Nothobranchius furzeri: one gene and its partners. The protein of the gene in region 1 binds, or shares a complex with, the protein of each later gene. Links are inferred from orthologs where the notes say so. Each region holds a gene or a part of one and is shown in the gene's direction. Other genes may lie near its edges.

Region 1 (3,652 bases):
AGAGAGGCCGGTGGTGAGCGATCCTCCGGGAGCTGAGAGGAAGTCGCGGATTGACCAGCTGAGGAGAGGAGAGCCCAGCCGCAGCACCTCATCAGGTACTGGAGAGTTCTGATCCGGTTCTGGTTATTATTCAAACAAAACCAAAGCTGGAAACTAAAATCTTGTTTTTCAGATCGGCAAGATTCCCGGAGCCACAGCTCCAGGCGCAGCTCTCCTGATTCGGAGCGGCAGGCTAGGTCCCGATCCCGCGCCGGCTCCTACGACAGCCGGGACCGGGAGCGAGACAGGGAGCCCTTTGAGCGAGATCGTAAGGAGCTCCGCCCACTGCAGCAGCAACAACAGCAGCAGCCTCTGCACCTCCAGCAGCCCCTTCAGCAGCAACGGGACTGGGAGCCAGAACCTCGAGACTGGCCGGGCCGAGGGCGAGAGCCTCTGCTTATGCGTCCTGCACGGGAGCCTCTCCTAAGGGACCTCAGGGATCGGGAGCGCCTGCTTCCTGAAGGACTCATCCAACAGCACGAATGGGAGAGAGAACGGGAGAGGGAGCGGGAGAGAGATGGTCGAGCTGAACGAGGCGGAGACCGGGAACGGGAGAGGATGATGATGGATCTGCCTCCGCATGGCGACCTGAGAGCTCCGGGACGAGGAGACGTGAGAGGAGAGATTGCGAGGCCAGAAAGGAGCGAATACGAGCCCCTACTGCCCAGAGAAGCCTTCAGCCCTCCAGAAGCCGAGAAATCTAGCAACAGCCACCATGTAGGTGGAGATCATCAGGAGGTGGAGAAGACGGAGAATTTTGATGGTAAGAGGATGGAATTTACTTTGAGGTTCTTCGTGTTGATTTTCCTACTTGGATTCCAATGGAATGTGTTTTTTGTCCAGGGGATGATGATGGGAAAGAGGACGAGCGGTCGGTTGCGTCTGTTGGGGAGGAGTACGAGCCGATCAGCGATGATGAGCTGGATGAAATCCTTGCCGATAGCCAGAAAAAGGAGGATCAGCCAGAGGAGGAGAAGATTACAGGTTTGTTTCTCCTGAAACCGAAACTAGTTTATCACGCGCGACGTTAGATGTGAACTCCGGTTCCACGTGTGGACAGGTCCGCTGGACGTGATTGATGTTGACTGGTCCAGCCTGATGCCCAAGCAGAAACCAGAACCGCGGGCGGCGGGTGCAGCTTTGCTCCGTTTCACCCCGGGGGCTGTTCTGCTGCGGGCCGGCATCTCCAAGAGACTCGCAGGCCCGGAGCTCCTGGAGCAGGTGAAGGAGGTGTGCAGGTCTGAGCTGGACGATCCGAAAGGTGAGCGTTGAATTCCAACAGGAACCAGAGAGTGAGACGTTGTAACAAAGTAAAAACCAAACTAAAGTTACTTGGTTAAGATACTCCAAAGTCAAAGCTGTAACCCTAACCTCTATCTGGACTAGAGCCCTGCACGGGCCTAAAATCTGAGCCCATACCCGGCCCGAGGGGGTGGAGCCCCAGCCCGACCCGGTCCGAAAAGGTTTTCAGGATTCTCTGGCCCGACCCGAGCCCGACTTTCTTTTAACCAACTAAATGAAAACAAAGTGCGTCAATCCTGACCAATGTGTTAAAAGACGTGCAGGATCCGATCAATTTGTTTTCCCCTCATTTATTGTCAGGGAGATGACGGCGCACTGGCTCTGGTGGTAATCAAGGTAAATTTGATCTCTTTGCAACAATTTTCACAAGAAAACAGAACAGTTAAAAGCAGGGCTTGTGTTGACCGGATAGTTCCCGTATTTGACCGTTTATTTTGACAGAGAAAGAATAGAAAGAATTACCCCGACGCATGCAGACGAACTGACATTTTATTCTACGCACATCGCAGATGTAGCTAAATCACTCAAGAAAAGATTCCCATCTGAACATCTGAGCTGGACACTGCTCAGCGCAGCTCACTGTCGGCGTGTACTACATAAGGTACACAGCGAGCTGAAGTTGTGGAGAGGGGCTTGGAGCGCGTGTCGCAGAACCAGAGCGCATGCGGGAAGATTCCTCCGACTGAAGCGAGTGTTTTCCAAACCCGGTCTCTCAGAGAGACTTGTCACTTAGAAAATGTTCCTTGATTATGAAACTTTGGCTGAATAGCGCTTGTTCCTGTCTCCAATGTGACGACGCATCCAGGAGCCGTCTGAGGAGAAGCCCAGAATCTCACATCCTCTTCAGCTCAGAATGCACCGATATGATTACGCACAAGCGTGACCCGTCAACCCGTTCACACAGTAAGACCGGGCTGGACCTGTTCAGGTTTACGCAGACAATCTTTACATAGAATTGACTTACAGATATAAAATTAATTCAGTAAAATATAAAGCATTTTATTTAAATATCCATTCATTATTTTACAAGCACAGAGAGCCGCATCAGATTCAGATCAGCGGGAAGATTCCTCTGAATGAATTCAGTGGGAGGAATCTTCCCGCATGCGCTCTGGTTCTGCGACGTACTCCAAGCCCCTCTCCACATCTTCAGCTCGCTGTGCACCTTATGTAGTACACACTGACAGCGAGCTGCGCTGAGCAGTGTCCAGCTCACATGTTCAGATGGGAATCTTTTCTCGAGTGATTTAGCTACAACTGCGATGTGCGTAGAATAAAATGTCAGTTCGTCTGCATGCGTCGGGGTAATTCTTTCTATTCTTTCTCCGTCAAAATAAACGGTCAAATACGAGAACTATCCGGTCAACACAAGCCCTGCTTTTAACTGTTCTGTTTTCTTGTGAAAATTGTTGCAAATTAAACTTGATTAACACCAGAGCCAGGCGCAATGCACCGTTGTCTCCGTCACTGTAAATGAGGGAAAAACAAATTGATCGGATCCTTTTCTGACCTTCCCCACCTACAAAGTTTAATTACAACAATCAAACGTGACAGAGCCTGGATTTGTATTCTGAACAGTCTAAACATGTTTTAAATGAAACGTATGACAAAAGTGGCACCTGCTCAGTAAAACCACCAACAGGGTGAAAAATATCAAAATATTGTAGGCAGAGACGGGCTACAACTTCTGGATCCACTTTATATAAATCGTTTTATTGATTATCGTCTTATGAAAGATAACTTTGACGTACACGAGCGACCGGTACCGGCTGCTGTCACCTGTTGTGATTGGTTAAAGCAGCTCTCTGCTGTCTGAGGGTAGGCCCCGCCCACAACGCCGCAGCTGCTGTGGCTCCCAGTGTTTTCTTTACTGTGGGAAACGGGTAATAATGGCTCTTTGATGGGAACAGGTTGCCGACCCCTGCTATAAGTGTTTCAATTTTTTTCATGAATTCGATTAAAAATAAAGGCGCCCGGCCCGTGTCCGAGGTAATTACACAGTCATTGGCCCGAAGCCCGACCCGAGGGCCGTCGGGCTTCAGTGCAGGACTCTAATCTGGAGCAAACAGGCGTGTGCTACCATTAGGATCTCAGACACAGTGCATGCTGGGAAGGGTTAGAAGGTCATTTTGAAACATTTCAGGGTTTGCCACTCGTTAAAGGAGCAACATGTAAGAATTTTACAGTGAGTCAAACTCCACGGTTCAGGAAGTCAAACGCAAAAGCTGTAGAACAGCTGGACAGTTAATTCAGTAACTATATCGATCGATCGATAAAGAAGTGGTTCAATAGGAAAAAAATGTCCTTTTTC
Region 2 (3,752 bases), on another chromosome or scaffold:
TGAATGAAGGGACGCTGCTGGAAAAACAGCCGCTTGCGGTCAGAAGAGCGGCTACTGAAGCGAGAAACGTCGCCTTCATGTTCTGCGACCGTGAGCCGCTGATAACGGTGGCAATCCGTTTCACTCATCAGCTGTTTCCAGACATGCAGGCAGCCCCGGCGCTTTTCCCCGGGAGGGGAGAGAACCGAGAAGAAAAACGACGCAGATCGATGAAACTCTTTTTGCGTAGGCTGATGCGCTGGCAGCCCTTCCGAGAGGAGGAAACCAAATTACTGATTGATCCAAGATCCAGCCAAATGTCACGAACTAAAACGAACTCTACGCGGAGCCGTAATAAATATAACAAAAATTCCCCTAAACCAATTTAATATATGTGTTGGCTAATTACATTTTAGATAGACTATATTTCCCATTTCCCCTCAGTCAGGTTAGGAAATTTTGCTTTGAGAAAAAACGTTTGAAATGTTTTTGCACTGCTGTTAAAATGCTAAAAGGAGAAATTAAATTAAAATTAGGCTATTAGTTATCTGTATTGTTATTGTTGTTATTTAATCATTATATGCTTACTGCTAAAATTATTTCAATGCTATATTTTTATGTAGTACGGCTACAAAGCTGTGAATTTGCTTCTTGCACTAATTTCATTGTCCGTAAGCTTTTAAAGCTACTCGACTATTGATACTGTATTTAAATGCCAATAACACATTCCCTTCTTTTTATTGTGGTATCATGAGCTGTGAGAGAACGGGAAACAGTCGAATATAGCTGTTTGTTGGATTGCCTTTTCCAACTGTTCTCTGTGATTGGGTGATAAATTTGCTGACGCCAAACGTATGCGTCGGACAAGGCTCTTTCATCATCATCGAGTGACTGTAGGTTCAAATGCTTGTTAAATCTTGTAAACAGCGTACACCGAACCTTCTCTGGGTAACCGGAGTTATAGCCCTCAAATCGGTTTATTTAATTTTCTTTGTAGAATTTTATACATGTCTTCAAATTACACGTTATTTGAGTGTTTTATATGTAAACTTTGCAGTTTCAATGCATCGCCCTATATTTGTTAAAGACACACATCTACTGTGATTACTTGTACCGGTGTTCATAACGAGCGCACCCATCATCATTTCAGCGGCTATGTCGATTTAGCTAATGTTTAGCTAGGAGCTTGCTGCTTTCAGAAGTGAACGTAATCCGTATTTAGCAACGACCCGACGTTTAATATAAATACAGATCTACTGTCACAGAGGAGAACATGAACAGTAGGCTTCAAGAAATCCGCGAGAAACAAAAACTGAGACGGCAGATCTTGGCTCAACAGGCAAGTACACCATAGTTAACAGTTAGAAAGTGGCTAACCGCTAACGTCGCTTTGGTCATAACGGAGCTGCAGGGTGCTAAATGCTCACCATAACTTCACCGTCCCTAACTTGGCTGATGTATTAAATACTCGCCTTCCACCGAGCTAAAAGAAAACACCTTCATAGCAAATGTAAATAAGTGTAACCCAAGCTAGAGCCGACTTTATTTGTCGAATGAAATGTAGCAGCAATGCAAAAAAGGCGTTCACAAAGTTCCAGTCAAATGTTTGCTGATGTTGGTTTCTCTGTGTGTGTTTCTCTAAATGCGCAGCTGGGAGCTGAGAGCGCAGACAGTATCGGGGCTGTCCTTCACAGCAAAGATGAGCTCAAAGAGATAGAGGAGACAAGAGAAGCAAGCAGGTAAGGGTTGTTCCTCCTCACAGACAGGGCGGGATCGTCTGAGCTAGAAAAGGGCTGCGTTTGAATGAAATACGTAAATGCAACGTGTTTGCAGGCGCGTTGCAAACTTTTCAAAAGTGTGGGGGATGTTGTCTGTGGATGTCATCAGTTGTAAATTGAAACTCAACCTCAATCCAGTAAGGAGTTCGCGCATGATTCACAGTAACATAGTCCTTCCAAAAACATGCTTAATATTCACCAATGTATAAACTGCACACATGCAGAACGGGAAGAACTAATCTTCCAAACAACAGAACCCAAGTTTTCTTCATCAACAACACCCAATTCAACAATAAGCTGTTAAATCAAAAGGACGTAAAAATACACTAAATACACATTTAGAGAAAAACACACAGCAGCGACAATCCAATATCCTATCCACAGAATCCACTGTTTAAATTAAAGCCCAGACTTCTCTTTCCAACAATATTTATGCACTCTACATGCAAAATTCACAGAACCAGCAGCTAACAAACCACAGCTCATTTCATGACGTGAAAAGCGTAAATACAGTCTTACCTTTGTTGATTCATGGTCATAATCCATGTTATGGTAAAAACAATCCAATCCCTTTGTGTAATCCATCTTCACAACATCACACAAAGCTGATTCGTGGCTGTTTTAGCTTGCATCCATCTGATGCCAAATCCCAAAAATCTAGCCTAAAAAATCAAAAGCAAGCGATTCTATTGGCTCAGAGGTTTCCTAACTAACCTGAACGGCTTCAATAATCCAACGGCGGGGTCTGGAGAAACTCCTGAATAAACTGTGGTTCCAGCCCAGTCCACCAGCGCACAGGTGTACTCGGGTAGAGGCGGGGAGGTTTCGACAAACTTTATTTGTCACTGAATGTTAATAAAGCTGATTTTAAAGTTGGACCAAAAAAAAAACCTATTCCGTAGAAGGAGCGTTCAACTATTCCTTTTACAAGTGGCACACTGTGGCATTTGAGACCTCGCTTTAAGTGTGCATATATTATAAACCTCTGAAAATTGTTGTTCTTCACTTTATCAAACTCAGACTTTGTACAGCTAATGTCAAGATGTAAAATTATGAATTCAGTGAAATTTAAAACTACTGATGCATTTTTCAAAAGAGGTATTCATCCTGAAATCAAACATTTCGGGCAAAATAAGCAAAAGAAAAATAATCAACTTTTTTACAATGTTCCTTGTCTATTTACACTTCATCAGCAACACTTATTCTAATATTCACACATCTGAACAAATCCCACAAGAATTCCTTTTATAATGAGACCAAAAGTAATGAAAAAGACCTTGTGGTTACAGGAATATAGCCATTAAAGTGTGGGCATGTTATTTGTTTTTATTTCAACAATGCCATCAAATGGTTTGTGTTACATTGACTTACTGTTTTATAAGAACATATTATGAATGTAACATTAAACACAGTAGTCAAAAGTAGAGAATGGTGGTGGTGATTATGAATATCAGGACACTAATAAACAATATTACAAGACATTAAAAGTCAAATCAGTAACACTTTAGGAAACACAACTTAATCATTAACCAGGGGTTAACTAACATGCAAATGATACAGTCTGATTTATGAATTACTAATGATAACAAATTTGTGAATGACCTGAGTACATTACACATGTCCAAAAATTAAAACTTATTGTGTTATTTCCTCCAGTTTGAACCATAAAATTAGATACAGCTCAAGGTATGACCTATAAAGTACATTCTTTGGATTCAAAACCAAAACAACAGGGGAGGTAAGATTCAGCAAATACTTCGCAGAAGTGAAAACCTGCTTCATATGAACTGTGGTAACTGAGTAGGTGAGATAAAACTGTATTATTTTTAAAAAGCATCTCCACAGCTGTAATCATCACACTGGATGAATCCAAAAGCAAGACATCCAACACTTAACAGCAATTCAAGCTATTTTCAAGAACAATCTGTGTAACATCTTTGAGCTAGACCAGCGGTTCCCAAACTTATTTAGCTGCGCACCCCCCAGCCCCCCACA
Region 3 (3,752 bases), on another chromosome or scaffold:
TCTGCCTGTTTTCAACAACTTTATATATGCCCTAATGTTACGCGAACATCCGTTTTACCTGCGTATTTGCCCAAGTCTGCTCAGCATGTTTCGAATGGACCTCAGCAGGTAACCAGAACCGTGTGCACGCGCTAGTAAATAACTGCCCTTGAAACTGAGCCATTTCAAGTTGACAGACTGCACCATCATTATTATACGATGGGGGTGTTTGGAAGCGTTTGCATGATTTCTGTAATGTTGCGGACGCTGAAAGTTGGACTTCGTCGAAACATTGGTTTGCCGTGTTTGTCAATAAACCTTTAACTTGTGGCATTTTTTATGAGTAACCATGTCATTTTGTTTTTGAAATGCGTTTCCCTATTACGCTGCACATGGTCTTCAGGGCCTTAGCTCGTTATTTTTCTTTTTATTATAAATTAGTAAACAAGTGTAAGACTTGGATTTGTGTCGTCAAAATGTTTAACGAAATTTTGAAACACGAGAGTAATCAAAATAAAGAAATGTTTAGAAGACCACGAGGCACGTGACCCTCTTTTTTAATCGTGACGTGAAGATTGTCTACTTTGTTAAGATGTCCCACTCTTTAGAAATGTTCTTTTTTTTTTAAAAAAAAGTCTTCATCCAATTTAATCAATGACTCAAAGCAAACATGTTTTGCCTGAACCAGTTATTTTAGAAATATGCGTTTCTGCTAGGTCACCTATATTTGAATAATTTTAACTTAATTAACAAATAACATTTTTTGTTTATTTATTTATTCTATTTAGACAGATGTTATCAATTATTTTGGTCGATTGACTCTAAAAAGTTGTACCACGCATAATCAAACATTAACTATAGTAAATTATATAAATAAAACGTTGAAAATATCCCTTGTGTCGTGGCCCTGCTCGAGTTTCAGAAATTATTTTACGAGTGAGGCGTCTTCTCTCTGTTTTTAGCTCTCTGGTATTACTCCGCAGCATTTTCGTCCGTAGCTATTCCACACTGCCGTCAGCTAAAGAAAGATGATTGCGACTAAGCCCAAACGATACCGTTACTTGTCATTTCTCTGAATATTTGACCGTTTATGTGATTGTTATCCTCACAAGGAATTTCTGAAGCCGACAGTTCTGAGAAACATCGAAGATTCAGGGCCAGGTGAGTGTTTTTGTGGCGTCAGGCCTGGTAACTGCAGCCAAGAGCCCGCTAGTTTCAGGAAAAGGAGCGCAAGGGAGGGAGTCGTTTCCTTCACCGCCATTTTGTTATAACAAGGAGCCGAAACAGAGCAAATAATTAAGTGCCACCCATTTGAATTTAAATTATATTTAAACGTTACTTTGTAACTATGAGTTCAATTTACCATTGCAAAGGAGTGCTAAATATTAGTGGTCAGTAGTTCACCTTGGTTAGCTTCTTCGCTCTGCTAGCTGCCACAATGTCCCGACATTTAGCTGTACAGCGCTTATCAACTGGTTATGTTAAATCTTATGTTATCGACCAATGAGTCAACTCTTTGCCATAAAATATGCGGTGTTCTTTCTTCAGAAACCAAAACGCACGTAATTTAGCTTGTGTGCTAGTCGTGACTAGACTGCGTGCGGAGAACTAACGCTTTAGCTGAAAAGATGATGCAGTTAATTCAACCTGCAATTTAAGCAGCAGTAACTGATGATTTCTTGTCATATTTTCTTCTAGAGTTCAAAATGACCAACGAGGAACCTCTACCCAAGAAGGTTAGCGTCTGATCCTGTTCATCTCCTATTTGAACTATGTTCATTTAGCCTTTGGTTGTCTCCAAATAGCAGCCGGCCTCATTGACCAGTTTTTCTGTTTTCACAGGTTCGCCTGAGTGAGTCGGACATGAAGACCCTGACTAGAGAAGAGCTGTGTACCAGGTGGGTGTTCACGCTGCGATTGCTGTAAAATCACGTGTTCATCTAAAAATGTTAAACCTTCTTTTCTCGTTTCAGGTGGAAACAGCATGAAACGTACGTGCAGGTCCTCGAGGCCAAATATGCAGAGCTGTGTTGTAAGTGCAGTTTCGTAAATGCAATCCAGCATCATGTTGAGTTTAGTTTATTTAGCCGTTTCAACAGTCAGCTATAAATGCTACAATGAGTGCATTGCCTAACCTTTGGCTGTCTGTGAAGAGGACTAATCTGTGATGTTTTTTCATCTCATCCCTTCAGCGAACGATGTTCCAGGACTGAAGGAGTCGGAGGAAAAGCTCAAGCAGCAGCAGCAAGAGTCTGCTCGCAGGGAGAACATCCTGGTCATGCGACTTGCCACAAAGGAGCAGGAAATGCAAGAGTGTACAGTACGTATCTGTTTGCCACTGAATTCACTGTTTTGCTTTGGTCGAATGTTGCTCCCCGTTGATCTGTAGGAAGCTCCTTGTTGGGTGATTGATTTATTTTCTCTCTGATGGATGTCGACTCTCCTTTTTGTAATACTGTATAAAAAGGCGATGTTGAATTTTACTTATCATTAGGTTAGGTCACAGAAGTCAAACGTTCACTAATGACAATAGATTAATACCAAATGTAATGTTTTATAGTGATGTTTTGAACAGATGCCTTATTTAAAATGGCAAACATCAAAATGAGTGCTAACATCTGTCAGTGTGGCAGCTGTAGTCGATGTTTTATGTATTTACACAAGATCAGAGCTTCTTAGCCATAAAACACTGCTTATAAGTGCAATATGATCTTTGATTGAGATTAAAATACTAATAGAAGTAAATGTTGCATGGTGTCATTTACACATACATGATATTTTTCTAAGTTTGTGACGTAAAAGGATCTTAAAACAAGCAGCAGCATTTGCAGAGCAGCAGCTGTTATAAACAAACGTGCTGTTTTCTGTCAACAGAACCGGTCGTAAACAGGGATACTGTTATGGCCATTCACATTCATTCACACTGGGCCAACAAGTAGTTAAGGTCAGCCGTTGGCTTTAGACTGATGGTACAGAGTGTTCAGTGGCTTTATGGGGGCTCATCTGCCTTAAAGAGCAGCAGAGCTCACCTCAGCACACCTTTTCTTTCATTTAAAAGCCAAAAATAAGGATTAGGTTCAGTCAGATGCTGCTACTTTTGTTGCTTAAGCCATATTAGTTGTGCCTTTTGGCATATCGTGTAGGGCTGGGCAATAAACCGAAAATGTATCGTTATCGAAATTTCTGACTTATCGTGATAAATGTTCCCATATCAATACATTTGATAATACAAAATTGAAAAGATGTGTGTGGGTTGGCAACGTTCATGTCCCTAGCTGTACCAGGGTTTTTCCTGCATTCAAATTTGCCTGGTGGCCTCCTCCAGCTAATTTGTGCCGCCCCAGCCTGATTTCACTCTGCCCCCAGCTATATGGATGTTATTTTAACTGCAGTTGCAGCATTGCACCACTACGGGGCGCTGTATCAGCAGCGGTGCACAAAAAAGCACTAAAACCGCAGCAGACAAAGATCAAAAATTGCTTTTCTCTCTAGTTACATATCTGTGGTCGGTGCTATTGACGTCCTGATTTTCCCCCAGGCTCTTCCATATCAGAGCAGGGCTGTACAGTGCGATGAAAAACACTGTCTGCGTGTCTGTCTATTTGTAAATGTAACACGGGTGCAACATCTTTGAATTACCATTTTCCCCTGAACTTTATTGAACAAAAGTAAGTTACTTGTAAGAAAAATGCTTTTTACTGGCGCACGACGTGGTCATCTGGATGCAGTGGAGGAAAGGAACCGGCAAAGACGCAAAGGCAGAACCGGTGCAA

The links.
Region 2: zc3h13 (region 1) and mettl14 share a complex: the UniProt entries of both Homo sapiens proteins name them as parts of the WMM complex. The link is inferred for Nothobranchius furzeri from reciprocal best matches to the Homo sapiens genes ZC3H13 and METTL14.
Region 3: the proteins of zc3h13 (region 1) and wtap are in contact, whole or in part, in a cryo-EM structure (PDB 7VF2), measured with the Homo sapiens proteins. The link is inferred for Nothobranchius furzeri from reciprocal best matches to the Homo sapiens genes ZC3H13 and WTAP. Residues at the interface, in NP_001317494.1 of Homo sapiens: Arg1512, Pro1514, Gly1515, Ala1516, Ala1517, Leu1518, Lys1520, Phe1521; in NP_001257460.1 of Homo sapiens: Asp202, Glu203, Asp206, Phe207, Gln210.

The regions. Positions count from the first base shown.
Region 1 is NC_091754.1:49,202,641-49,206,292, reverse strand, and holds part of zc3h13 (zinc finger CCCH domain-containing protein 13), read left to right. Parts: coding exon 1-95; intron 96-172; coding exon 173-802; intron 803-882; coding exon 883-1,023; intron 1,024-1,099; coding exon 1,100-1,300; intron 1,301-3,652. UniProt on the Homo sapiens protein: Associated component of the WMM complex, a complex that mediates N6-methyladenosine (m6A) methylation of RNAs, a modification that plays a role in the efficiency of mRNA splicing and RNA processing.
Region 2 is NC_091746.1:78,155,481-78,159,232, forward strand, and holds the start of mettl14 (N(6)-adenosine-methyltransferase non-catalytic subunit METTL14), read left to right. Parts: upstream 1-1,119; 5' UTR 1,120-1,252; coding exon 1,253-1,318; intron 1,319-1,629; coding exon 1,630-1,718; intron 1,719-3,752. Other genes in the region: prss12 (neurotrypsin), read right to left, coding at 1-79. UniProt on the Homo sapiens protein: The METTL3-METTL14 heterodimer forms a N6-methyltransferase complex that methylates adenosine residues at the N(6) position of some mRNAs and regulates the circadian clock, differentiation of embryonic stem cells and cortical neurogenesis.
Region 3 is NC_091742.1:5,865,582-5,869,333, forward strand, and holds the start of wtap (pre-mRNA-splicing regulator WTAP), read left to right. Parts: upstream 1-953; 5' UTR 954-1,140; intron 1,141-1,677; 5' UTR 1,678-1,685; coding exon 1,686-1,715; intron 1,716-1,821; coding exon 1,822-1,877; intron 1,878-1,952; coding exon 1,953-2,011; intron 2,012-2,171; coding exon 2,172-2,299; intron 2,300-3,752. Other genes in the region: sod2 (superoxide dismutase [Mn], mitochondrial), read right to left, coding at 59-189. UniProt on the Homo sapiens protein: Associated component of the WMM complex, a complex that mediates N6-methyladenosine (m6A) methylation of RNAs, a modification that plays a role in the efficiency of mRNA splicing and RNA processing.